4 linked regions of the Mytilus edulis genome follow. The protein of the gene in region 4 purifies or fractionates together with the protein of the main gene of each other region. This does not show direct contact. Links are inferred from orthologs where the notes say so. Each region holds a gene or a part of one and is shown on either strand. Other genes may lie near its edges.

Region 1 (7,679 bases), about 78 Mb from region 4:
ATGCAAGAAAAAATATCTCAAAAGGAGATGTTTTATTCTAATGGGAGAAAGGAGAACGGGGGTAGGAGAAAGGAGAACAGGGGTGGGAGAAAGGAGAAGGGTACCCCCCTGTCCTCCCCCTCATTAATTAATAATCAATGTTTAAAAGTCACCAATATGTGCTAAAATTGAAATTCCAAGTGTTATTCGGTCATTACAAGTGTTATTCAGATAGTAACAGTGTTATTCGGTCATTCGAGGTACCGTTGTATTGGTAATGCATATAAAAAAATATCTAATAATTGAACTGGAATTTCAATAAAAATTGGGTGCGAAAGTGTAGGGTGGGAACGTGTCGGGTGCTAAAGTGTATCGACTATTGGGTGTGAGCGGACCTGATACATGTAACTGCGGGGGCAGATGGAAAACACTGGCACTGCCTTTTTTGTTATAGTTATTTTTTCTGTTAGTGTTATTCAACTTGGGATAAAGGGAAAAACCTGGTTATGGATAAACAGCTTTCTCACAAATCGAACAGCCAGATGTATGCTGAATAACTTCTTTGGAGAACAATTTGATACCAAAATCGGCTTGCCACAAGGGTCAGTACTATCACCCACCTTGTTTAACATATTCATAGCTGATATAATGGATAACACAAAAGGAGAAAATTGCAAGTTTGCAGATGATGGCACTTTATGGCATAAGGGGAAAGACATAAAGGAAATGAAAGAAAGAACTTCAGAGGATGTCAAAACTATTTTAAAATGGACAGAAAAATGGAGAATTAATGTAAACCTGGAAAAGTGTGAAGTATGCCTATTCTCAAAAGGCAACACAGATGCAGAGCAGAAAACATTAAAAGTCAACTCCTTCTCCTATAGATATAGTCCAACACCGAAGCTACTTGGAGTAACTCTAGACGAGAAGCTTAAATTTGACACCCACATCAATCTGATGCAGAAGAGGGCAAATAATGCAATATATGTAATTAGAGATATTAAGAGCATGGGAGGAATATCAAGATCAAAACTACTCCAAATATACAACAGCATGGTTAGATCTATCATGGAGTATGCATGCCCAGTCTGGCAAATAACATCTGCAGAGAATATGAAGAAATTAGAAGCTGTACAAAGAAAAGGCTTGTCAATATGCCTAGGACTACCAGGAACATCAGGTAGAGAGGCAATGGAAGTTGAAGCCAACATACAACCCATAGACCTCAGAATAGAGGAAATATCAGTACGTGAACTGGCAAAAATACAATCAAAGAACATAGCAGAACCAATTAAACAACAACTAGAACAGTATTTAACAAACAACGCAACCTATGAACAACAGGATTCTCCATTTGGTAAAGCTATAAACCAATCCATAGACATGTTCAAAGCCACGAAAGTTGACATCAAACTTATAGAACCAGAATTCACATACAAAGCTGGTGTAGATGTCATGCTAAGGAGATCACCAAGTTATTGGAGTCGTCTAGGTAGCTCAAAGAACAGAACAGCCGAACAAACTGTTGAAAGTAAACAGGTTGTAAAGGACCTATTAGGAGACAGCACAGACTCAACAGTAGTGGCATTCACTGATGGTTCATGTCAAGGTAACCCGGGACCATGTGGGGCAGGAGCAGTAGTATATTCTGGAAATAGCCAAGGCATAAGTCTAAAGAGGCCAGTAGCTAATAGAGGATCGATACTTCTTGCTGAACTAGTAGCCATACTAATGGTCCTGGAGCACTGTATAACGACTATAAAGGACCAGTTTTCTGAGCTTAAAATACTGTCAGATAGCCAGACTGCTGTAGGCATCTTGACTCTGAACTGGAAATCTTCTAACTACATCGACACAATTACTGATATCAAAGAATGCATGGGAACGCTCTTAAGACACGGCATACTAACAACCCTATCTTGGATCCCAGGCCATGCTAATATAGCCGGGAACGAGATAGCGGACCAGTTGGCAAAAGACGCTGCAAAAGAGGCCTCATCACTAAATGATCAGTATAATGTCATAACCATGTCAGATGTAAGATGTGCAGTCAAGATGTCTACAAAACTCAAATGGCAAAGCAGATGGACAATTAGTGAAACTGGAAGACAGCTTTTCAACCTAATTCCTATCGTTGGTAAGGACGCACAACTAGACAAGCCTAACAACCAAATAGGAAGAATATTGTCAGAAATAAGAACGGGCTACAGCAGACTTAACAAATACAGAAACCAAATCGGTCAATCCCTCACGCCATATTGTGAATGCGGAGAAGAAGAAACATCAGAACACTTCCTGCTATACTGCCCAAGATACCAACAAGAAAGAGAGGACATGCGAAGACAAATGGAACTACTTAACATCGATCCAACAAATATACAGTCAATACTAGCACCACCAAAAAGAGAAACCTACGAAGCAACACCGCAAATTGTAGGGGAATATATTACAAAATCAGGGAGATTCCAAGAACTTGCAATCCCTGATTCCCGATCCTGCGCCTAAACAAGTATACCAAAGTACCGCGAGATATTACCTCGAGCAACGGTGTACCATAAGAGGAGGAAGATAGTACACAGAGAACAGTAGTGTCAATTATTGACCTTAGGATCAGGATCAGGAACAGTATCATGCTGGGCATAATTGAATTCGTGTACATTTAGCTCAAGCATCAGAATTCCACTGTGTCTATTGTAAACATGTACAAGACAAATAAAACTTACAAACTTGTATGACAATAAAAATGCTTTGAAATCAAGGCCTAAACTATAGCCTGTATAGGTTGTTTTTTTGGATTACTGCTTCATTTTCCGTAAAGCACATTTACTAATATATGATGCTTGGATATTTATCATCAATTAGAAACTAGATTTTATCCAAAATTTAGGTTTTCTGCATTGTTTTTGTAATCATTTGTTGTGTTTTCTTACTTTTCTTTGTGACAGACGCCGTCCATCAGCGTCAATGTGATGCTTGCATCGTCTGATTCACTTTTGTGTTTGTTTACAATGTGCGGTGATGAGGGAAATTTAATCAAAATAAATGTTTTTTCTACTGAAAATTTATAAAACTACTTGTTTCTTTGAAAATTTAAACGAAAATAAAACAATTGATGATTAAATGCAATTTATATGCACACAATATTTTTTTAAAACAGTTCCATTAGAAAAGGTATCTTTTTGTCTCAAATCAACACTTTCCCATGATAGTGAGTTTTGGAGTTGTGAGTTGTGGCTGAAACTCACAGTTGAAAAATGGTTGCACACTTTGCCACTATCCTTTTTACAGGATTTATGATATATTCGGCTGTTCCAGGCTCAAGTATTAACAGCTCCATTTTTATTTTAAAACAAAGATGAGAGAGACTTTATAATTTCCCTTTTCCTGTAAACATTTATGATTAAGGTTTATGTACCCTTCTGTAGCCATTTTTGTACGAACTTTTCAAATTTCAATTGTATCAAAACTACAGATATAATGAATAATAGAGATAGGCCATTTTGTACATATTCCAAGGGGAAACTTGATGCAAAGCATTATTTTTTACTGTTCCATTGCATTTAATAGAAAAAGAGGACTTTGTGGCAAATAAATCAAGATTTTTATAGAAAATCCACAGCCTTTATCCTTGTACTCTCATATTTGGCAATTTGATGACTGATAGATATAGGATTATTGCATGCAGTGCAAGCATTGATTTCCTTAAAACAAGTTTACAAATGTAGTTATTGGTTAAGACAAGTATAAATATGGCCAAAATCAAGTACACCTTTTAGGGTGCGCTCGACTTTAGTGACTCAGCACGAGGTGTTTTGGAATTTACAGGTTACTTAGAACTTTTTGTAAAAAATAAACACTAGCACATCATAGAAAATCAAGTGAGTAATTTATGTTTCAAATTTTATAACAAAAATCTCTGTATTAAAGGCTGTGGATTTTCTATAAAAATCTTGATTTATTTGCCACAAAGTCCTCTTTTTCTATCAAATGCAACGAAACAGTAAAAAATAATGCTTTGCATCAAGTTTCCCCTTGGAACATGTACTAAATGGCCTATCTCTATTATTTATTATATCTTTAGTTTTGATACAATTGAGGTTTGAAAAATTCGTACAAAAATGGCTACAGAAGGGTACATAAACCTTAAGACAAAAATCACCTCAGTTTTACCACCTGTCAAAAATGGAGTTGTTTTGAAAATCTATTCTGTGATTGATTATTACTGTTCATCAAAACAAAGGTAAAAATACCTTTCAGGTCATCAAATGCTTCTGTTCCCTGATCTTATTGATTTGAGTGTGTTTCCTGGTCATGGCACCATAAATGTAGCGATTAAAATTGAGGTCATCTACGCTTAGATATACTAACACGTCTGTTCAGCCAATATAGGATTATTACTTTCTTAAATAGAATTAAAATAATTGCTCCTCTGCAGTTCAATCAATATATGTGTTGGTGATTTGAAGTTACATCAGACATATATTTATAGGTCTGCAGAGGAGCATAAAGAAACCATGAATCAGGGATCTCCATGGCCTGTTTAACGATGGTGCCCCGCCATCGTTCAAATGTCTTGCGCCATCGTCAAATGACTTGCCCCATCGTTCAAATGTCTTGCGCCATCCAGAGATGGGTCCGATTACTTTCAATGTAATTGATTAAATTACAATTACTTTGTCATTTGTACGATTAAATTAAATTAATGATTACATCATTTCTGAAAGTATCTGATTAAATTAATGATTACATTGGCAAAGTAATCATGATTACATCTGATTACAATAAATTTAAAAACAAAACATTTGGATGATTTGGATGAATAAACGTTTAATATAACTATAGCATTTTTGAGAATATATTTTATTTGAGTCAATTATAAAATGATAACTTCAAATTAAACGTCATCTAGTTAAATAAACACCAAATTTCACTACATATATATATACATTACACTTTATCACCAATGATCTCTAAATTATTTTGAATTAAATTTTATAAAGATATATCATAATCAAGAGTTTTTTTGTTTGTCTTTTGACCTCTTTCATAATTTATATGTATTCCAAGTTGCAGTTTAAATATGGCTGAAATAAAGTTACCAGTTAAAACTATGTTGAATTTTAATAGAAATGTGTAATCAAATTGTAAACAATATGTATTAAAGTATTTATTAAAAACCATTGCATTTTACACGTCCAGTCCAAATACAAAAAAAAGTTTAAAAACATATTTGTCCAACTTTTAATTTAGTTTGTGCTAATTAGATAAATTTTCATGTCTGATTTATCTTTTATCATATATATTTCCCTACAGCTATACTCAATTGGTAATTGCAATAAAAACAAACCTTAATTAGTCTCCTACCTGTCAATTTAAAGTTGACAAAAATCACAAAAATTAACAAAAGATTATAATTCAGGGTTAAAGAAAAGTATTACTTGAATATATATCTATAACAGTTATAATCAAATATCAATATGAAGATCATTATAAAATGATGAATATACATGTATGTACAATATCTTTTACCAAGATAAAAGGTATATAATTGTATTATATGTCTCTGCTTAGGCTAATGATGACTTTTCAATACTGTAACAGTTTATTCTTTACTGAAGTAGACAAGCTTAAAGTAACCAAACCATTTTAGTATGTTAAAAATTTATCCAATATGAACAAAGAGGTTCATTTAATGACCAAAAACACAATTTTAGATTTTTTTCATTGTAATCAGAATGTAATCAAAAAGTAATCATGATTACAGGGTATATTGAAAAGTAATTGATTAAATTAAATTACATGTAATCAGATTTTTGGCTGATTAATGATTACACTGATTACTTGAAAAATTGTAATCAATTACAGCTGATTAACGATTACAATTACAATTACCCCAAGTCTGGCGCCATCGTTAAATGACTTGCGCCATCGTCAAAACTGTGATCGTTTTTATAGCCTGACGTCATTTTTTTTTAGCAATTATAATCAAATGCATGTAATTGCATAACCTTCGGGCTTTCTTTATAGTATAATCCAGTTCTAACGCCTGAGGGATATCCGGATTAAGATCGCTAATCACTTGTACCTGAGCTTGTACAGGTAGATCAACAAAGCAGACAGGAGAATATTATCTGAAGATAGACGATTCAATTGTCGAATTATTTAATTAAGTTTCCGCAAATGCTTATGATAATTCAGATTAAATAAATAAATTAATAGTCTAGTTACATAGTTTAACAAGTAAAACACGTGCTTTTATTTTGACTTACGCAATCAGCATCCCCCTTTTTAAGAAGTTCAAAATAAGACGTAAAACAGTAATTATTATTTCATCGCAAATAACTCGAGTACTGCTGTATTGTCACGATAATATAGAATTACTTTAAAGGTTAAAAAGTAAAAACTTTTAATATTTCCTGTAAATAAATATCGTATCGTAATTCCGAATTCATTTCGTAGTTTACAATCAAATTGATACATCCGCGTTTCCGGTTTCTATTCCGACTTGAAAAATGCATGTTGCATAGCATCGCTTTTCTAGATAAAGTCATTAAAAACCTTTTCATTTGACAATGTTCGCTTTACAAATCTTTTTAACCTTTTACATAACCCGTACGACTCGTGTTGTCGTTGCTGCAAACCAGCCATATATACCGGTAATGGGTTCATGAATTCTGAATTTGACAATGTCCGTGAAAAATAAGCTCCACATGAATTTTAACCCGCATAACAATTACCGAAAATAGCAAGAAAACTACATTGGGACCTTTGTGATAGCTATTGGTCATTCTCGACTAAGGGAAAGGGAGGGGGCATGAGGGCTTGCCTTTGAAGGGTTACAAATGGCAATTATTGAAAATATATATACTTCTATATACTATAGTATTTATAATGAGAATTCAAATAAATATAATTCAAATAAGCAATGAATTAGCATGTTCACCTATCCTTATGTGGAGGGATGAAAAACTTTCGATCGCGTTACGCTGTACATCGTAGATACGGTTTATGATGGTGAAAGTTCCTCCATCGTTCAATTTTCATCCATGGAGATCCCTGATGAATATGCAGCAGCAAACTTTTATTTAAAAAGCGATTTTGAAAAGACGGATAAACTATAAAAATTGCCTCCTAAAGAGAGGGAATGTCCACCCATTTACGGATTATCGGTCATCTTCTGATTTTATGGTTTATAATCTATAACTTAATTTTGTAATAGTTATTTTTATTTTATACATGTATATAGTTTTTGTTTTTTAGATGAACATCTTTTTTTTTTTAAATTTCAGGTCTATTTTCATGGCATCCTACACTAATGACAATAGCTGTAAGTAATTTGGATACTAACTGTCTAGAAATATTGGCTTGCATGAGTTAAGTAATATTATTTTTTGAGGAAAAAATGTCTACTTTTATTCATGATCATTCATTACTTCAAAACTCTACATTTTGTAATAACAGAGAAATGTCTCCCCTTAGTAGTATATGGTTCGAGTTGAAAGTAAAATAAAGAAAGATAGTGTCTACCCTACATTTAATGCAAGTGATCGATGTTTTAATATTCTTTTACATTTATTTCAGATGATGTTCCTTATGTTTGAAGCTATAATGCTGTTTAACCAACAAAGCTCATTGTTTTTAAGTTGGAGCCGATTGATTCGAGGGACAATACATGGGGTCATGATGTTTTTTGGAGTTGT
Region 2 (6,965 bases), on a different chromosome or scaffold from region 4:
TTTGAGCATTTTTATACAGAATGGACATAATATCAATTTTTGATTTTTTTGCGAAGTTTCCCTTTAAGGAACAATTAGACCATATGAAACTCTATAAAGACTTCTAGATCTTATACACTGTCATAAAATGCTAAGCCAAGGTAAGTACAAAAATGTAAAATATATAAGATAAACATTACACACATACATGACATTACATGAACATGTAGGACAAAAATAGAAAAAAATACATTGTTAGACCCATAATCTTTCAACAATTTATTTAACTTCAGAAATATAATTTTCTGTCTTGTATCCAAGCATAAATTTATAATTTAAAATTTCAAATCCAATGTTTTACCATTTTCCATATTAAAAAAATTATGACAGCATTATATTAGATACATGTATAATCATGATCATTGGCTACATTTTAAAGCAAATTTTATCAAAATGAAATTACTTTCGCACTGCATCATTGACAAACTGGTTGGTTCAAACTGAACTGTATTCCTTGGTATAAAATCTTTCTTTTAATCACATGAACCAGTGATCTGGAAGGTTTTTTTCGCTATGGGCCCAGGGCCCTTCAAAAATAAATTCAATGGGCCATTTAAAAAAATAATGGGTCATGTTGTAAAATGAGTGGGCCATTTGAATTGACTTCTGTAAAAAAAGAAAAAGTATCAGTATATTTTGGCAAATAGATGTTGGTACTTATACCTTTATGATTTCGAATAATATCATGAATGTTGCTCCTGTGATTTTGTAATTTCAATTTCAATGAATATACAATAACGTTTTCCAAATCGAACAATATAATATTTAAGTTAACCTTTATTTACAATGTTTAAACTGGTACTGTTGCCTTGTTCATGTTCATGGTTTTTTTTTGTACATTAAATTTGGGTCTTCGTCGATACCATACTTATTCCAGACGTTCCGTATCAGAGGACATTTCAGGCATTTCCTCTGCACTTCTTGTATTATTATAACTTCATCACGGTGACAAGAATAACAGTAGAGAGTACCATTAATTCATAGAACAAAACAACAATTCGCTGAAGTCTACTTACAAAATATCAAAATGAGCCAAAGACCAAAAAATGACAAGGACAGTTATCGTCTTTTATGGAGACAAAAACTGTATTCATAAAAAGGCTTTGGGGTTTTTCAATCGAAATAAAAGCAAACTAAACCAAATGAGATTATTATTAGAGTTAAATCTCGTCAGTACTAGCCAAATTTCACAAATTTTAAAGTTGTTTATAAAAAATTATATCATGAATGATGGTTAATTACGTTTTTGGGGTTATCAGTTAGACCGCATGGTTATGGACTCCTAGGAATCGATATTAAGAATTGAACGATGGACACTTAGGGCGTGAATTTTTCTTGCTACCTGATTGGAAGATATTACGAGACTTGAATAATCAAAATTTATTGATTGGTTAGGACAATCCAAACCTAGTAAATGTCTTTCAATCCCGTAGAGTATCGGATTTGTCGTCTCTATTTTAGCAATTAGATTTTACACAGGTAACTTTTATCTATAAATAGACGAACCTTCTGGAGTAAACAACAACGTTAAACGATACTACAAGTTCATAACGTGTGACCTCACGTGTGTGGTAAAATTTGTTGATTGATGCACGTGGCTATTCTAATAAATGAATTAATCTACAAAGCAAGAGTTCTTTCAATTTTCATCAGCTAAGAGTCGAATATAGCACTTTTTGAAAGGCTATTGCTTGTTCTATTATGACCATAAGAAAACACACGAGACGTTAAACCGCATGGTTCTATTATCATAGGAAAACACCCAACACGTCCCAAAAATATATAGGTGCTCCTATTATTGGAGGAACATTACACAGTTGTGTACACACACACATGGCGGCACAGAACACGATCAGAAATCCATTTGACGATATCTAAACGGATCAGAATGAAGTGAAAAATATCTTGCGCCACGTGGGCGCTTACATTTGTCACTATATGCGCCATTTCTTGTCAATATGCGCTATAGGCGAAGGGCGCACGTCCTTCCCGATCACTGATGAACTATTTTAAGAAGCTTCATGTAGCTAGGCATGAAATCCCCAGACATTTAAAATCTGTGAAAACATAGGTTTCCCTAATTTTGGACACAAATGTAAGTCGCAAAAATCTTGAGGGTGATATCAATCATTAAGAAATTTTCATGAAATGAAAGTTTGTTGTGAATATGTTCACACAAATTAATTATACAAGTGAGTTTTGGAAACTTATGGTTGTGCATAAGTGGAGATAAGAAAAATGGTTTCTTAACATTTAATCATTTTTCTATATGCATGCTTTTTTTTATTTACACAGGTTAATTAAGCAAATGTTATGATTTTAACATATTTAACATATAACAGTTAGTTTATGTTTGACTCCATCACCTTCATATAACCAACTGTAAGTTGATCATTATGACAACTTGAATACATGTATGTTGATATTTTCATGGAGTGCTGCTGTATTTATCTCAATACTGCATAAATTCTGACGTTATCACGAGACTTTTGTGACTAAATTTAAATGGGGAAATGGATTATCTTGTAATTAAACCCATTATTTGTTATAAGAGTTAACCACAGGCAAAGTAAAGCCATAAGTCTTTGGAGTGTGTATACTATACTGTACATCAGACAGCACCATAACTGACGACTGATAAGCATTATCAGTTGCATGGTCCTAATTTTGTGATACCTAGTATGTATAAAGCAATAAAGTATTTCCCTCTAAAAAGTGATATACAGTCTAAGCATTACCATCCCCCTTTTTGTTTTGTTCTTAACTTTCATAGTTGTACACATGTATATTTATCTCACTAATCTTTGACAAGAAGATATACATACAGGGGAATAACCTGGCTGGGGAAATGGTCTCATTGGTGGTCCCTGTGCTGGGAACGACCGCTGTTGTGGCTGCATTTGATTTTCTTTGTCGGCTTCGCTTGGTAAATTGAAATCTCGTTTTTTCTCGTGACCATGAAATGACTAACTACCACAAGATATATATTTTCGGTCTTCAGATGATGTATAAAGATAGTGTTTCGCCCCATTTATTGTTCGGCACTTTTAAATGTTAAATTTCGGCATATATTTAAAATAAAAATAAAAATCTCAGAAATCTGATTATTGCGATCTTCCTCAACTTAATATTTTTTAATCGGTTTTTGATCATGTGTGACTCTGATTTTTTACAACTCAACTTAGCTCGCTCCAATAAAGTCTAAGTGGTTAAAACTATCACATATGTCATAAGCATGTTTATAATGTATATTTCTCGTTACTACTGATATGTATAGAATTATAATGTATCATTTTGCATATTAATTAAGAAATTTTACCATGTCAAAACAAAGTCAGTTTTTTTTAAATTATTTTTATTACATTATCATTAACAAAAAAAATCACAATATAATAGACTAATGGAATTTTATAAACATATTGTGTTGGACATGTATCAAATGGTAAATATCAATGTACGACAATATCTAAATCTGAATAATATAGAACATAATGTATTACAATAGGAGTAACCATTTCTAAGACATCAAATTTAGAACAAGACTCGGAATTCAACTGGCTTATAATAAAATGTGTACTAGTTTAATGAAAATGGACGTCATACTTAAATTCTAAACATGCATATAAATGAACTAGAATTAAAAAAAAAATAACAAAGGCCAGAGGCTCCTGACTTGGGACAAGCTCAAAAATTGCGGCGGGGTTCAACATGTATATCAATTATATGGTCATTTTTATAAATTTTCTGTTTACAAAACTTTGAATTTTTCGAAAAACTAAGGATGTTCTTACCCCAGGAGTAGATTACCTTAGCCGTATTTGGCACATCTATTTGGAATTTTGGATCCTCAATGCTCTTCAACTTTGTATTTATTTGGCTTTTTAACTATTTTGATCTGAGCGTCACTGATGAGTCTTATGTAGACGAAACGCGCGTCTGGCGTATAAAATTATCATCCTGGTACTTTTGATAACTATTATCTCAACCCCGGCCTATACCTCTAGCCAATGTAAATTGAACAAACACACAGCAATACGCTCAGTAAACACTCAGTTTAAAAGAAGTCGGAGTCCGATGTCAGAATAGGCAGCAAAAGAAACTATAAGCAAAATGACGATGATACAAAATTAACAAAGGACTTCTAGCAATTACTGACATGCAAGCACCAGATCTCATTTAAACTGATTGAAAGATCATATCCTGTATTGCTGTATTGAGTATTCTGTAATTTACCACTCAAACTGTGTCTTTTTATTTATATAGTATGTTACGACATTCGGTGATGTCAAACTGTTGCATCCATGGGTTTTTCACTCCAAATTAAACAGAAAATAGTTATTTAAGGTAGATGGGGTGTCTAAATTACAATCCATATATTTTTTTAATAATTTGCCAAAATATAGTCTAAATCATGCTTTAAAAAAAAAATAGAATGGGTCACGGGGCTTATTTTCCCGCTACATGGTGTTCAAAATTGACAAATTTTGTATAGATTATGTATGGAAAACCCAATTTTCTGCAATAAAGCGTAAACTACACCATAGAATTTTGAGATAACATATGAGAAGATAGCTTTAATAGTATGCTTTCAGTTAAGTAATGAAAAAAATGGGATCACCGGACCCGTTTTTTCGCTATATTAAAAAAAAAAGGTAAATTCCTAACACATTCTATTGTAAAATCTGAATAATCTGTCCTTGCATTTGAGTTGCCTTCCCTTATGTGGCAAAGTTGGAAAAAAATTTATCAAACAAAAGTTTTCTGTTTTTTGTAAAATACAACCATACTGAAATGAAAGTTCTTACGCATGAAATACCCACTACTCTAAAAATTTGCACATTCTATTAAAGATCTAGACCTTGTTTTCTGGTATTTCCAAATCCAAGATGGAGGAAGACACCATATCTACCTTATTAATGCAATGAAAATGACATTTTTCTGATCAAATTACAAACACTATATACCATCTGGTTTTAAGCTTTTTTTTTTAACAAGGATAGCGAAAAGTAGAAATGAGCTGTTCACTTAAGATATCAAAGACTGTTGTAGCCTAAACAAGTAATACAGGAAGGTATTGTGTTGTGGAAGAGTATGAGTGTCTGTATGAGTCATTGCATGTTCTTGTGTGTGAGTGAATCGGGTTTCCTGGTTGTTGCTTGTCCAGGACATGCATGACATATTTGCCAGTGGACATTAAGCAACTCAAAATCAACAATCCTGGTCACAAGTATAGTTGAGCTACATGTTTATAGTACGAGGCTGTATGATGAATACAGCATACGTTTCTGTCAGTGACGTTAATTTTATTGTGGTGAATATGTTTAGACCATCTCAATTTCGGGTTACGACTTGGTTCTCTGTTGTATATAAATGAGCAAAACAAGACTATTCAAGTTTTGACAGAACGAGTGTTTGATATCCCTGGGTTTTAAATCGCGATGATTTGTGTTTTCAGATTATGTTTACGGAACCACATTGATTTATTGCGGTACTGTAGGATGATATATTATACTGCAATCAGCTATTTTACTATACAGATAAAGCTATACGTATAAACGTTAGCTTTATACGTCAATGACCTCAACTCACCTATAAGCCCCGCCTACTTACAACTTCACGTCGCAACCATGACAACATGTAGTAACAATGGTCAAAATTTTATGAATTTAAACCTGTTATGTCTTCAAATTGGTAATTTATATACCATGTTTATCAAATATTATTAATTAAATTCATTTTCCCTTTCTAATTCCTTAAATTGTCAATGCTTACCGCCTAGACTACGCTCATAGGGAAATACCCAAAAATGGTACCCCAAGGGGGAAATTCCCAACACTTTTTTTTTCAAATGTTTGTTTCATATTTTTATTATTTTTTTTTTTTTTTTTTATCGATTTCAGTATGATAGAACCTCGCATTTTCCCGTTTCTAAGCCTCATACAAATAAATTTCACATTTCAAGACACGGTATACGTATATTGTCTAATATCAACTATATATGTGTTTCTCTTTCGAGGTATGACTGTACTACATGTATATGGTACAGCGGTATTTAGCAGAGGTTACATATTCTAGTGTACGATCGATTATGTAGAATGTAGCCATGCTAAATGGGTTGTTTCTTTTAGCTGACGGATAGCACAGTACATTTATCTAGATAGAAAGCAACGAAGCTGTTAATCTCTCTTTACTTACATTTTTCTTATATATTATATTATATATAGTCTAAAATAAAATTGAGAATGGAAATGGGGAATGTGTCAAAGAGACAACAACCCGCCCAAATAAAAAAACAACAGCAGAGGGTCACCAACAGGTCTTCAATGTAGCGAGAAATTCCCGCACCCGGAGGCGTCCTTCAGCTGGCCCCTAAACAAATATATACTAGTCCAGTGATAATAAAAGTCAGGATGTCAGTCAGTGTCCTCTTTCATTTTCATTTATCATAACCAATGATGATTTGTTACCAAAAGTATAATTTTAAAGCCTCCTTGTCCTCAAACCCAGCCTTCTTAGTAAGTGGTCAATTCAATACTGACAGGTCATTGATATATATATATATAAGTAACAAGACTGGAACCAAGATAGTACATTGAGGAACAACAGATGTGCCAGGCACTGTGAATGATGTCTTTCATTTATGACTACAGTAACACTGAACCATAGAGGAAGCCGGCGCCGCAGCAGACAAAAAGAAAACTTTTGCAAGTTTATCAGGAAATCCCATGAGCTTTATGTTGAATGCAGACGCTAAGAATACATGAAGGCTAATGCAACAATCAATGAAGTTGTTAAAAAAAATATGGAAATTTTCAATAAAATGTAAAAAGCCTCTTTATAAAATCATTCTTGCAAAATCATTAACGTTCTCGGTCAAAACGTTATATCGAACTGTTAACTTAGATTATATTGACTCTCGGACTTTG
Region 3 (7,427 bases), on a different chromosome or scaffold from region 4:
CTAATATAACTATTTTGCAAGAAGGTCCCCATACACACGAAGAAGACGACACGGTTATAGGAGTCGATACAACATTACAGTCTTTGCGTAGTGCAATTCAACAAGACCCAAGCGTCCCAATAAAGCGGGTATACAACAACTTTGCGAGAAATGTGGCACAAGGAGGCGGGGATCGAGAACATATTCCTGAATTCCACAGAGTCCGTTCCGCAATGACACGAACTCGACTAGCTCACGTCCCCGCTGTGCCTCATGATATTGAAAACGAACATGGTCGGAAGATAGATTTCTGTTGTACAAAAACAATGATTGGGGTGTTCTGATATATGCAACACATGAAAACTTATTGAATCTTAGACAATGTAAAGAGATATATTGCGACGGGACCTTCAGAACTTGTCCAAGGCCATATTCACAATATTTTACCATTCACGGCCGGTACCGTAATAGGGTGATGTGTTTTGTAAACTGTCTAATGACTGATCGCAGTATTGGTGACTATAGACATATTTTAGAAACACTGAAAGTCAAAATTCGACAAATCACACGGCACAGATGGCGCCCAAGAAAAGTCATCTGTGATTTTGAGCTCGCATTGATATCAGCAGTAGAAATTAACTGAGCTTCCACGCGCTCAAATTAGTGGTTGCTATTTTCACTTCAATCAGAGTTTGTGGCGAAAAGTCCAGAACTTAGGTCTTGCGGCAAGTTACCGACGACGACCAGCAGTAAAAAGCCTAGTCCGTAAAGTTATGGCCATTGGATACCTATCAATTGCTGTTGTGCGCCAGAAATTTCGTTTGTTGAGAACATCCCGTAGAACTCAGAGACTCTGCAGGCGGTATAATGGACTAAGGGACTTTCTTGACTACTTCGAAAGGAACTATTTGAACGGGTTGTTCCCTCCCCAGATGTGAAATGTTTATGAAAGAGATATGAACAACAGAACAAACAACAGCGTTGAAAGTAAGTGTTATCTGTTTATTTCAAAAGTTAATCTGACGAGAAAAAGGTCTCAATTTAATAAACTTCACATTCAGAATATTTTTTACTTAAAACGATTTAGATTTAAATTTTCGCTTGGTATATATATAAATGCACTTATACAGTTAAACTGATATGAAGGGGTTCGGGGGGCTTTAGTATAAGGTTAAAAATTTCGTAATTTTATTTAATACACAATTTTTCGTTTATTCTTTAATTATTAAACATTCTTTTTCTAAAATAGTGGAGACCATTTTACCCCCCCCCCTTTTCCGGCTACCGAAGGTGTTAAATGATTTGATTTATTATGTATAAAATCACGTCAGTACAAGTATGTATAGCTGTAGCGTTTGCTTCTCCGTTCCATATTACGAATTTGGTTTTATGTTTAAGAAAATCTTAAAAAATATGAACATAAGTGCCACCAATACGTCTATATAAACATAAGAATATGTGATATGGTTGCAAACGGGACAACTCTATCTAAAACCTAATTAGGTAGTAAATTTAAGCAATTTAAGCCTTGACTCACACAGCAAAGTAAACTTTCAAGGGCTACAAAATGACAAGTGTAAAACAGTCATGTCAAACACAAAGACGTATTTAATTATGTATCACATATTTTTACTTGATATTAATAACACTGTTTCGGTTAGACACCCTTCTTTGTGGACTTTCATAAAGACCAACAAGCAACTTTGGAGAACTCCGTGGAGGCTGTCGATAGGGTATAGGGCGATCCAGCGCCGAAAAGAAAAAGAAAATGGCGAAATCTAGAAGCACGGATGATGAGATTGAAAGAGGAATATAATAATGGAACGAGAAATTTAGACCAATACTGGAACGCAGTGTGCTATGGAGTGGTTCAGTTTTGACACTTTGTTGTATTTTCTTTAAACATTGTGTAAATTTAAAAGTGAACTTTTTGATAAAACTATTTAGTTATGAAAACTACTGAATTTTTGCTGACAATTTGTGATATTTTTCAAAGATAAATAATTCCAAATTTGATTAAAGTGTTTTGCATATTTGATGAATGAAATGCATCACCAACAAATGCAAAAAAAAGAAGCACACACAGATTAGTAACACATTCTTCTTCTAATGCAAATACAAGAACTAAATGCCGTTACCCCCCCCCCCCCCCCCCCCAAAAGCAAAGAACAAAAGAAATGTTTGCGGTAACGCTATACCACTAAATTACACCAGGAAACGGACTAATTGGTACTGTATGTTTTTATTGTGTAATTTTTATCAAATCATTTGATTTATATTATAATTATTAAATGTTTATTTGGCCTATATCAATTTGATGATTTTGGTCGTTTTCAACTGATTTTTATCGTGCTTACACCACTGCTGTCTGAGGGAATCTTGGATCCAGAAAAAATGTTTAACCCGGCTGTGGATGAAATGAAAGACGATATGAAACCTGGGGATATTACTATCGATACAAATATTCACACTAATGCTTTTTATCGTTCTTTTTCAAAGATTTTCAGAAAATTGTGCTCTTTATATGCGACGTCATCAGGCAAGGTCGCCTTTTTTCATGACGTCACAATAGGAAAATTGAGAAGAAAACAAAACATTTTGACACAATTTTCTGAAAATCTTTGAAAAAGAACGATAAAAAGCATTAGTGTGAATATTTGTAAAACTAAAGTGATGGTTTTTAGCAAGAGAAAATCGAAAATGGATTTTGATTTTAAACTTGATGGTACATCTCTTGAAATTGTAGATAGCTATACATATCTTGGTCTTTTGCTTAATTATAATGGGTCATTTGTTTGTGCAAAGAAAAAGCTTGTAGAACAGTCGCAAAAAGCACTTTTTGCTGTTTATACAAAGATTAGAAATTTACATTTACAACTTAAATTGTTTGATTATCTTGTCGAACCTATTTTATTGTATGGATCAGAAATATGGGGATTTGAAAACATTGATATAATTGAAAAAGTTCATCTACAATTTTGCAAGAGAATTTTAAATGTGAGATCAAGTACTCCAAATGTCATGGTATATGGAGAATTAGGAAGGTTTCCACTAGAAATTAAAGTAAAATTAAGAATGTTATCGTTTTGGAGTAGAATGGCTAAAAATGAAAACAAACTTAGTAGTTCTATGTATAAGCTTATTTTCAAATTACATGCTGATGGTATTTGTGAATTTAAATGGGTGTCATTTGTAAAATCTATATTTGACAACTCAGGATTAGGTTATATGTTTTTTCAACCAATACATTGATTATTCAACTTTCAAACCCGTTATAAAACAGATTCTTCAAGATCAGTTTCTTCAAAAGTGGTCCAGTAATATTGATAACTCGTCTCGTGGCGAATATTATAAGTTATTTAAATCTCAGTTTGGTCTGGAAAATTATCTATTACGTCTTCCAGAGGATAAAAGAATCTGGATTTCAAAACAGGATTAGGGAAAAAATATTCTTGAGATACACAATTTATATATATCAAAAGTATTCATGGAACATGTGGAATACAACATTATACATGATAATACGAAATACGAGAGGAGAATGATTATACTTTTTCTGTTTAAATTTGACGACATTTTTAAAAGGATATATATAAAATGACAATTATGCTTCAATTTTAAAAAGATAAAAGATATGATAACATTTAGGAAAGGGCCCTTGTTAATTTGCAAATAAACGGCACAATTACGATGGTTAAACAATGTTTGAGGTAGTGGGCTTAATTTCTACAGAAGAATAAAACATAAATCAACTTACCAGTTTCACAAAGACGATGCTGCCAGTTGTCACATGTGTCACATTGAAGAGCATCTTGTCGAATCGTAACCGTCTTCTTGAACATTACAACGTGGACGAACCATGATTGCAATTGAAGATGATCATACATTTCACCATAGTTTATATATTTTTTCTCAAAGCTTGATTTTTACAACGTTTAAGCCATGCATTTTCTTTTCGGTGAGGATGGTGATTGTTTAAGTATAACTCAATGGCCTTTGATGTTCATAGTGCCGCACTCATACCGAATTTTTGTTTTCATTTACTTCTCTATGTTTATTCTACTTTTAACAAATCCATTCTATTTTTGTAGGTATGTTATCCACTAATGAGCACTGATTAGTATATTGTGTACTCATAATTATTTTAATGTGCATATCAAATGAATTGCCGTCTAAACAATTTCAAACAATCAATTCTAAGGAATACTAATGATTATAACGATTAGCATTTGATAAGCTTATTTAAAACAATTATAATTGCATTTTATTAACAATGAAAAGTTTATTTATATGTTGCTATATAATGATATATACGAAAGAAAGTTACAATAACTATGCATATAAACATGATAAATAATATCAAATAAAGCATGGGTAAGAGTTGGTAAAAATAGGGTACGAGTTGCCGAAAGTACGAGTTGTCGTGTACCCGACTAAAAAATCTAAACTGAGTGGTCTCCCTTTGCCATGGCGTCAAATATGTTTGGGACAAAGACATTTGGTGAAAAACCTCAAAAGTTTCAGATAGAGGAAGGCGAAGAATATTATTATGTCGGATCAGAAGTATGAAATTACATGTTGTTAAAGATCTCAGTCGAGAAAATTTCAGATTTAGTGTAAAAAAATCGTTTTTCTATCGAGAATCGTAGAGTACCCATGGCATAATTTATTTCTGTAACTGTTAGTGTTACTAAATTTGTGGCCTTCCTTATCTAAATTTCATTTATGGTTAGAGTTCGTTTAAGGGTAGGCATTTTGTCAGGGTTAGCACCCGTTAGACCCAAATTTGAATATTCTTGTTCTGTTTGTGACCCTCTGACACACAACCAATCCGTATGCAAAATTGAGATGGTCCAACAACAAGCTGCTCAGTATGTCTGCAAAACCAACATGAGTAGTGTTACAAACATGCTCACAACATGGAATTTACCATCACTAGCAGAATGGAATGTAAACTACACATAAGATTAGTTATGATGTACAAAAATCATGTTGCAATACAATGAGTTCGTGGTCTAGTGGTTAAGACCGATGGCTACAGTGCTGAAGGTCCATAGTTCGATTCTCACTCGGGGCGCTAAAAATATCAGTACGTCAGAAGGGTAATTTTCACCCTCTCACACACATCACTGGTACCCAGACCGGAGTTTAAACTAAAATGGGTACTTTGGGGGCCTCGGTTGGTCAAAGTTGTTCCCTGCTTGACTTCGAGATCAATCTTCTGATATCTCTCTGGTTTGTCTGTTTCCACCGAGTGGCCCGGTGGTTCTCTCCGAGTACTTCGGCTTCTTCCACCATAATAACAGACTTCCTGGTGTCCTAGCACTCCCTCGGTGTTGGATGGGGATTGAGTTGTCCTTGTAAAAATAATTGTCGTATAAATTATACGTTAGTGACACATCTCCATTAATCCCGATAGGGAGTGTACATGGATGCCACTGTACCCTCACATGTAAACCAGTCAGGGGACTTACTGAAATAAGTGATTTTTAAATCACTTATTTGAGTAGCAAATTCGAGGTTTTGTCACAAATTGGGATTATGTAGTTTTTTCAAAATTTGAAACACATAGGTTTAAATAATATCTTTTAATTAGTAAAATTTAAAAAAAATGAACTTTTTGCTTCTTTTAAGTAGCAAGGTTTATGCCTTTGATGCTATCATTTAGCTGAAAATTCTATTTTAGTTGAAAAAATGCTATAATAATGGCTTTACATAATGAACTGATACTTTCTTAAAAGATTTTTCCCAGCAGTGGGAGTATTTTTCCTGTGAAGTTCAAGGTTTCATCTTTCAGATTATGTAATAAAATTCTACTGTTCGCAATAAAAATTTCACTGTTTGGGGATGTTTAAATTAGTGGGGGTTATTAAAAGAATGATACTTAAAGAAGTGATTTTTGGGAAGGAAATTGAGGTCTGATACTTAAACAAGTGATTTTTATGTCATTATCCTAGATTCAGGACAAGGTCATCACCTGAAATGACCTGGTCATCCTAGACAACACAGATGTTGGTTCTGATAAGTTTAGAAACATAATTAGTCCCTGGATCATTAGTATTCTATATTTAAAGCTACAATAAAATTAAATCACTTCTTCTAGTGATTAATTTGTACTACTTAAATAGGTGATTATTAAAGAAAGACAACTCTAACTTCCAATCTTTATGGAAATAATGTTACTTGAATCAGTGATTTAGAAAATCATTTATTTAAGTAAGTTCCCTGACTGTAAACATGTAGAACATGCCTCATATCATAATTTCTCTTGCTGAGTTGCTGAGATTATATTAATGCTGTAAATAAACAAAACAGAGAACAGCTAAAGTGAGCTGTTCCCTGATGCTTTCAATGGATTGTGCCTGAACCAGTACCAGAGGGAGATCGTTCCACTGTGGTATTGTCATGAACTGAAATTATGAACATCTGTACAAGTATTTTGATGTATGAATATGCCTATATGAAAGTGGATGTTTTTTTTTCTAGTTCTTGGGTCTGCTTTTATGGGGGTTGCCCGGATATTCCGACACCCTGTTAGTCTGATGGAATACACCTTATTGCTTTTCCAACTTGACAATAGAGTGAGTCCCGCTTGAACATGTTGAACTTTTGACATCATACAAACAACCATTTTTTTCATTGTGGCATCAGATATTTCCTATAATGACATCTAAACTTTATGGGAACTAGTGTGAAGTCGAGAAATAAACGTATTTAAACTTTTGGTATTTAGCTGTATCTTGCCTCCGAATGACCTTAGATCGACTCAGAATCACCTTTTGACATCAAGCAACAATTACTTTATTTCAAATTGTGACGTCAAATATTTTAAATTATGATGTCAAAGTTTATTGGAACCTGTGTGATTTTACGTAATGGTGGACAAATTCATTTTGCATACAAGTGTAAATATGTCTATGGCGGACAAATAGCAATAAGGTGTATGTATGTATGTACTGGTAAATGCCTCCGATATCCGAAGAATCGAGGGGTTCTTCGGATATCGGAGGCATTTACCAGTACATACATACATACACCTTATTATGGAAAGCCAACGGGGTCAAAATTCTTAATTCGTAACTTGTCAATTCGTAACCGTTGTAACTGTGTAATTTCTAAATTGTTAATTCGTAAATTGTTAATTTGTAACTTGTTACTGTGAAATTCATAATGCTTAATTCGTAAATTGTCAATTTGTAACTTGCACCTTTGTAGTTTCAACATTCTTAATCGGTAAATTGTCAGTTTGTTACTTGTAACTGTGCAATTTCATAATGCTTCATTCGTAAATTGTCGATTTGTAACTTGTATCTTTGTATCAAAATTCAACATTCTTCATTAATTGTCAATTTGTAACCTGTAGATTTCAAAATTCTTTATTCATGTTATTGGTAAATTGTCTTTTTGTATATTGATGTTTTGTAACTTGTAACATGTGACTTGTCGAT
Region 4 (7,902 bases):
TATTAACCAACGAAAAATAAGTGATAGCCATGCAACTTTTAAAATTAGATCGTGTGGATTTTTTAAAACGAATTTTAATAATAAAAGTAAATCATACAATAGAACATTTTTATGATTTTTTTTTTCTAAAAATACTTTAAACAAACATATGAAACTGACATGATCGATAGTGTATTAAAAATACATGTTTGTATTCTGACCTTTTTGCTTCATTCCAGCAATCATTTTCACTTACTTGTACGGTGGAAACAATAAAATGTGTATTGTTTTGTGACACCTAAAGAATGTGGAATGCGTAGTTTAACTCAAGGTAATTAAAAGATTAGCATTATGTAATTCTAATCTTTTGATCATCATTCAGTGAAATCTAGGCGTCACGGTTCACTGGCATTTCAGGTGTGAATAACATTTCGTATCAATTGTAAACGGGAGTCAGACAAAGTTTCAGACACATGAATGTAAAAAAAATTAATTAAAATTAATTAACGGGAATAATAAGATCGCACAATAACTGGATAGCTGTTGTATATTTTTTATATTTTGCACAAGATCACTTTTAATGAATTATGACTTTTGAATACTTTAGTAACGATAAAATACTGAATTATTTTAATTGAAGTATTTATAAATAAAAATAGCCTTCTAAACACGAGTTTATGAACTAAAAATTGTACTATTTCAAATTAGGATCGGCAGCCTTAAATATTTCAAACAGATCATTAACAATTGCAATTATATATTTTAGTCAATCCAAAGTGATCTTTAATTACCTATTTAGGAATTAATGTGCTCATCAAAATATTTTAAATCTCACAACACATGAATACTTCAGATATTTGAAAAAAAATGTTTTAAAAAATTGACAGGAAATAAAGGATCTAATTGGAATGGAATCAACAAATTACGAACAGATATGCTTTTCAAGTGTGAAAAACATCAACAAAATTTATACATAATCGGGAATGTCCTTCTTAAAATACTCTTCGTCTCACTCCGTAACTATATATAATACTTTAGCTATTTGACCAACGATGTTTAAAAAAAAATGAACGAATTAAATGTCATCTTTCCCTATTTTTTAATGTAATTATAAGTCTGTTTCAACTGGCCAGAATACCAGTAAAACGGACAAGCAGTTTATTCTGCAAACTGCTGTCATTGAATATCAAGAGAGAAAATAAATCCCGAAATTGATTTGAAACTTTGATACTCTATAGTTTTCCTGGAAAATATTCACATCCCTCGGTATTAGTGTACTTCCAGTTGCGTATATATATTACATACATGTATATTTTATAAATAAATTTCTTTTCACCAGAAATGTTATTCATAAACAAGCGTATGAGTTTAGTAATATCACTTTCGGACACGCAAGATAGATATGTATATTATACACCTAATAGTTCAAAATGGAAAGTTATAAGTTATCGGCCGTGTACACTTATCAATACACTAAGAAGTGAAACGATGCATGAATTTGCAAACTCGACAGGAAATCGCTTGAATACCTGGACGTGTCACCTCACACCCCCTCCAATACCTTTGGGAGTAATACCTTTAGCCATGCGGGTGATCAGTGGAGCGAAGATCCTAATTTATTTGAATAAAGTTTATTACATAAAAGAATTATGAACTAATTAGATTTTCGAAAACAATTCTAGTTTCACGGAAGACTTATTTATGATTTGAAATTTTGACTTTTTCACTAATTCCTATATTATCAGTCTAAAAATAACAGATCCTGGTTATTTAAAAAAAAAAAAAAAAAAATTTCCGTATCAAGTTAGTTAACTAGTCGGATAAAACAACCGTACGATTGACGAGCTATCGACACGCAATTACGACTACATCGGGTTACTGTAGTTTTGGTCCTTAGACATATCTTGACTGCAAATCGGAGAAGGTGACAAAATGGCCGACCGCAGAGAATTGATACTCTAAATTTAAAATCGATGGTGATCTCTTATCTAGCAGAATAAAACTTTAATATCTATGAATTTGAGAATTTTTATACAGAATAAACATAATATCAATTTTTGATTTTTTTGCGAAGTTTCCCTTTAAGAGCCTTATTATAAAGTTCAGTTTTAGCTAGATGAAAACTTCCAGAAGCAGTAAAGTGAACACCTAAATATTTGTAATGAGCGACACAGTCAATCAAGTTATTCTGCAGTCGAAAATTCTCCTGAATTTTCCTTCCAGCCTTATTAAAAATTATGACTTTAGTCTTTCTAATATTAACTTTCAGGCTACTATATTATCCGCTACGGCACGGGCATTAAAACACTTTGATGCACGTTTCTATATCTATTTATTTGAAATAAATAATCTGAATTTCTTAAGGCTTATAAGTTAGTTTTCTTGTCCCTAAATTAGTCTTCTTGTGCTAGATGAATCTTCTTGATCATGTTGATGTTTCTTGTCGTTTCTGATAGCTTATTAATAAAACCCCAGAAGGCAGCACATATAAATTTATAATTTGAACCTTTTTATATTATACAAAATGTATGATCACAAGTTAAGTAGGGTAAAAGAATATAAAATTATAACAATGAATAAAATTCAACAAATCATTTATACAAATTTGTATTCTATATGATATGATATGAATATTTTTGAATATTGCTGAAAAATATTTCTGAATTTGATAGTATGACTTCATAATCATATACTGTACACATTATTATAACTACGATGGAATAGAATGATGTCTATAAACATAGATGGCTAAATCACAATGGTAGTTTCAATGGAAATATTTCCACCAAGAAGAGAATCGACACCACAGACACGAACAAAGAACCGACTTTACAACACACATAAATCATTAAATTGTGTTTAACGATCATAAATAATTAGAAACCGCGCCAAAGACTAATCCAATACACAAGTAAACTTACCGGTGTCTGTAAATAAAGGTAAATTCTATAATTAGGTCAACAATAATCAAAGCATTTGTTGAGTTGTCGATGGCTTTATTTTCTATGCGCATTCATCTGACGCAAGTCACTTCAACCTTGACCTCAAAAAAAGGTTAAATTTAAAAGTTGTCTCCCATTGAAACTTCCGGCGTCCATAGAAGCGGTTCATTACAAATATTGCTACATTAATTTGCCTAAAAGGTAACATTTAGATTAATATATAACTGTTAGGATTTGAAAATTTTATCAAAATTCAACAGTTTATCGCCGTTTATTCACGTTAAGCACAAACACTTTGCAAATAGATTTTAAACTTTATTTGATTTTTGTTGGGTCTGCATGTTGTAACTTGCACGATTTTTCATTGGCATCTCCTCTTTACCGACTTCACACACAAGCAGATTCGTCCCCTAGCGTCTCCAAATGAGTATTCAATTCGACCATCTATTTGTCCCCCCAAAGTAACACTTTAACAGGATCTCCTGTAGTTGGTGATCGCAATACACCTTATCGCTATTTGTCCGCCATTACTGGACATCACACAGGGTCCCGTAAAATTTTGACGTCATAATTCAAAATATCTGACGCCACAATGGAAAAGTGATTGTTGTATGACGCCAATAGTTCAAGCGGAACAGATTCTCGGGTCAAGCGGAAATAGCGATAAGGTGTATACTGGTATACCAGTATTGTCCACAATACTGGTATAAAAATTTTGTACCAGTATTGTAACTTTTTATTAAAAAAACCAGCAATACTCGTACATTACTGATATACCAGTATTGTAGTTGTATTGTTGACTAGACTATATTGAAGATCAAAGGGATATTAAATGAACTCAAAAAGATTATAGAGGATAATACATACCTGCCAACTTTTGAAAGTGTCCATGGGGGTTTTAGCGCACGACAACAATTTCAAAGGTTACATTAATACTTTGCGACAACTATTTTGAGTGTGCTGTTTTGTGGTCTAGAAAAAGTGTCATATTTGTGAGATGAGCTTACATGCCTTTTTCTTAATTTTATTTGCATGATTCTAGTTATTATATATCAGTAGAAAAGATGAACATGTGGCTGCAAGACCAGGAATTAATTTCATGTGTAAGGATATTAAATAATTGTTTACTTTTCCAATTTAAAATTATGCACAAAGAAGGACCTTTATCAGGTTAGGAACAACACTTAGGGGTAACCCCTCAATGTAAGGACATTAAAACCCACTTTTTAAGTAAAAATGAGCACATATATATTCATATTATTTGAAGAAACTTTTCCCAAAGAACTATACATCTTATGATCTATCTGGTATTATACAGTATGGTCAACACATGTCCAAGAATTTTGATATGTTCTTGGCCTTATATCTTCTATATTTTCAAAATAATTGGACCCTTCATTTAGAAAGTTGTTCTAAATATAATGTCAGAATTTCCCAATTTTAGGTTAAAAAATCTACATTTTATGATTTTTCTATTTTATTTTTTACAAGAGTAAAATGACCCCTTGACTAAGAGAAGTCCCTCATTTAAGAGATTTCCATGTGGGGGGTTTTGTTTTGTCCATGTGAAAAATAAAGAACAGTACATTGTACTTTAAATAATTTGGTAATTTAATTGAATACATAAATTTATAACATTTGTTACAGCAAGTGTAATATCAATAAATTAGTGAATAAACTAGTATTTATTATCTTTATGGTAGTACTGCATCATTGTAGTTTGTCAATCAGTCATGCTTTTATTCTTATTTTGTGTAAAAACTTCCTTGCAGGTGAAAAACCATTTGCCATGTTCACGATTTGAACAAACAGAGGAATACAACACAAGTTCAAAATCTAGGATGTTAGAATATTCTTGAGAGAAAACTTTTTTGATTGGCTGATTAATTTGATCATGAGAAACATAGAATTTGATTGGCTGAACACAATTGTATTCCATTGTACACAGTTCAAAATCGGGAACAGTCATATTTTTCGTGTTGATTTTCACAAAATCGTGTTTTAGAGGGTTTTTCACGATCACGATCGTGCAATCGTGACAAAGGGTCAAAATCGTGTAGTACACGCCTAAATCGTGAAAGTTGGCAGGTATGATAATAATTAATTGTGAAATCAATTAACAACCAGTTAAAAGTCATTACTATACTTGCACAAATAAACAATTGCTAATAATTTCATCATATTTCTATATTTTATATAATTTAATATAGATAAAATAAAATAAAAGCTTATTATCATCTGAGTAATAATTCAAGCAAATCATTAGACTCGAACACTGTAAATTCAGCATTTACATGTATGCCATCACATATTTGACAGATATTTTTATACATGTATACATTTTTTGTCTACTAAGATCATATGCATTTGTTTTTCTTTATTTTCTTATTAATTTTTCACAACAAAAGATAACTATATTATTCATTAATTGTAAAAAGTTGCTTTATAGGGGAACCTTGTTATAATCAAATTTACTAGTTTGTCTACATGAATGTTAAGGGTTGAAGCAGTTGATTCAGAACCATGGACAATACAAATAGTAGCAGATACATGTATATCTACTGGTACAAATACTAGACCAGCATTTTGACAGTAAGAGAGCTGTACAAATGCTATCTGAAATAGCTTGTAATCTAGTAAGCGTTAGAGAAAGTCCACAGAGAGTGAATACCTAAATACCAATATAGGAAGGGGGAGGGGTTACAGAAATCACATCTGAAGAAGAAATAGACAATACCAATGCTAATGATACAGAAGCTATAACAGCATTAATGTCAATATAAAATTCACTAAAATATACTTCATGAATCTTGGAAAGAGAGAGATGAAAGAAAAAATAGAAGAAAGTACAGAGTTTGTTAAAATGCTGAGACAGAATGGTTAAGAAAAAAACATCAGAAGATTTAAAACTTTATTCGGTACCACGATTTCCTGAGAAATACGAAAAAAACATTATATCCTGAGAACAAACTAATGTATCCCGAGAAAAAGATTAGTTATGGTGTTATGCTACTTTTTATACATGTTATAGTGTTAAAGGGAAAATTCACGATTTTTTACTTATAGTTTAAATATGTTCATTATGACATAATATATATATTCACAAAGTTTTATCGCTATATGTGCAGCAATAAAGGAGAAATTCAATAATTAATGAAAAAATATTAACAACTTCCTGTAGGTCGTGACGTTTTCTCCTGGTTTTTGCATGCCGGGATTTAAAATACAATCAATAAAAGTCTTGGTTTTTAATGATATTTTAACGTAATCGTAAGCGCGCCGATGACTTATGCTTCATCTAATAACCAGCCGATAATAAGAAGATAAAACGCACAGACATCCAATGTACATATTCATGAGATAAATTTTCTATGTTAATCGTATATATCCGAATTAATTTTTTAGACAACACAAAAAGTTATAAATTTATTTTTGATTAATGCATTATCGGACTGATAAGGTGAACAAATTAAAGTACAATAATCTGTAAAGACAATATGTTAGTGTACTCTTATTGACCTTTTACTGTCTCTGCTATGACTAGGTTTATACGATGTGTGTATTCACGGTTCTGTGGCAATACTCGTAGATGGCTTGTTTAAAGGTAAATTGTTATTTGCACTTCGGTATTTAACCACGCCTCTAGGGCACACCTTGCCAGGTGTGACTGTCTATTGGGATTAGTGGGTTATAAAACAAGGGAGCATTTAATACACACATTTAAACTACATATTCAAGTTGGTGACAAATGAAAATAGATCGCCGTGGAATTATTTAATTATATTTGGTGCTATTATTTATTTGAATTCAAATAAATTAATTTACTAAGAAATAAACAATTTTCGGTTAAAGACGGGAAACTTAATTCATGTGTCAGAATGAAATGATATACACCTCTTGTCCTTGATTTATGTCTCATAAAAAAGGGGAACTTAGAAATTAGAAATAGCTTTACCAAAGCATTTTGATTGTCTTTATCAGGCCAAAAAATGTACGAGAACACTTACATTTAGACTTTTGAAACCCATGTATTAATTAATATCTGAAACTATCTGAAGACAACTCTACCGAAGCGGAATATAATATGTACGAACAAAGAAAAAATACTTTTGTTTTTAAATCTTTGCACATTAATGATTAATGATTGTTATCTATTGTTCATTTAATTACTTAATTAGTACCTAAAATATGTCTACCGCTTGGCATTTAATCTTGGTGTGGTAGGAAACGATTATTACATATAGATTATATTATTTGGATGAGGATTTGAGCTAGCCTATAAAAACACATTAATTAGTTAACATACATTCGAGACCAAAGGATATTAACTTTGATAATTCAATTAACTTATTCACATATTTTTCTCTTATGATTTGTGCGTGCTTGTTTCTATAGGACAGTGTATATATGGTCCAAAAAATAAAATCATAACTAAAAATATCTTGTTCGGAGAATGATAGTACTAACAGTGGTTCCAGGTCGTCAAGAGAGGTAGCTTTTGACGAGTATGGTCAATTTGGGTACGCACTAGAGCCAGAGTATACCGAAGAACAGCTTTATGAAATGGAAGCTGCAGAAAGTTCCCGAAATCAAGATATCCTTAGCAACCCTCGCCATTTTGGTAAACGGACAGAAAGTCACAGGACAAAAAGTCACAGGACATAAAGTCACAAATTTGATAGGACAAAAAGTCACAGGACAAAAAGTCACAAATAATTTTTTTACAATTTTTTGAATATATAAGAGAAATATCTTGAAATACTTACTTTTTAATACATAATTTCATATTAAAGTCAATGAAATTTATCATTTTACTTGAGAAAAAAAAGATTTATTCAATTTTAATCATGCAAAGGTCATATTTGTTGGCACCATGAAGCCATTTAAGTGCCAATCTACCTCGACATTTTGTTTTCTTAACAATTATTTGATCATCTTTGCTATTTTTTTGATAACTTTTGCTTACAAAGCTGGTTCATAT

What was found.
Region 1: the proteins of probable global transcription activator SNF2L2 (region 4) and protein polybromo-1-like purify together in Drosophila melanogaster (affinity purification with western blotting; 3 studies listed by BioGRID, with this or other methods). This does not show direct contact. The link is inferred for Mytilus edulis from reciprocal best matches to the Drosophila melanogaster genes brm and polybromo.
Region 2: the proteins of probable global transcription activator SNF2L2 (region 4) and SWI/SNF-related matrix-associated actin-dependent regulator of chromatin subfamily D member 1-like purify together in Drosophila melanogaster (affinity purification with western blotting; 8 studies listed by BioGRID, with this or other methods). This does not show direct contact. The link is inferred for Mytilus edulis from reciprocal best matches to the Drosophila melanogaster genes brm and Bap60.
Region 3: the proteins of probable global transcription activator SNF2L2 (region 4) and SWI/SNF-related matrix-associated actin-dependent regulator of chromatin subfamily B member 1-A-like purify together in Drosophila melanogaster (affinity purification with western blotting; 7 studies listed by BioGRID, with this or other methods). This does not show direct contact. The link is inferred for Mytilus edulis from reciprocal best matches to the Drosophila melanogaster genes brm and Snr1.

Annotation. Positions count from the first base shown.
Region 1 is NC_092344.1:83,201,527-83,209,205, reverse strand, and holds the start of protein polybromo-1-like, read right to left. Parts: upstream 3,025-7,679; 5' UTR 2,910-3,024; intron 2,485-2,909; coding exon of another isoform or gene 628-2,484; intron 1-627. Other genes in the region: uncharacterized protein, read left to right, coding at 628-2,484; transmembrane reductase CYB561D2-like, read left to right, coding at 3,100-3,202, 7,269-7,306, 7,561-7,679.
Region 2 is NC_092345.1:21,238,194-21,245,158, forward strand, and holds the start of SWI/SNF-related matrix-associated actin-dependent regulator of chromatin subfamily D member 1-like, read right to left. Parts: upstream 3,020-6,965; 5' UTR 2,940-3,019; coding exon 2,865-2,939; intron 1-2,864. UniProt on the Drosophila melanogaster protein: Involved in the recruitment and site-specific anchoring of the Brahma complex at specific promoter sites.
Region 3 is NC_092349.1:8,148,009-8,155,435, forward strand, and holds the start of SWI/SNF-related matrix-associated actin-dependent regulator of chromatin subfamily B member 1-A-like, read left to right. Parts: upstream 1-4,411; 5' UTR 4,412-4,446; coding exon 4,447-4,542; intron 4,543-7,427.
Region 4 is NC_092344.1:5,668,227-5,676,128, reverse strand, and holds the start of probable global transcription activator SNF2L2, read right to left. Parts: upstream 3,022-7,902; 5' UTR 2,901-3,021; intron 1-2,900. UniProt on the Drosophila melanogaster protein: Transcriptional regulator. Acts as a coactivator, assisting one or more dedicated transcriptional activators of ANTC and BXC homeotic gene clusters. Can counteract the repressive effect of Polycomb protein.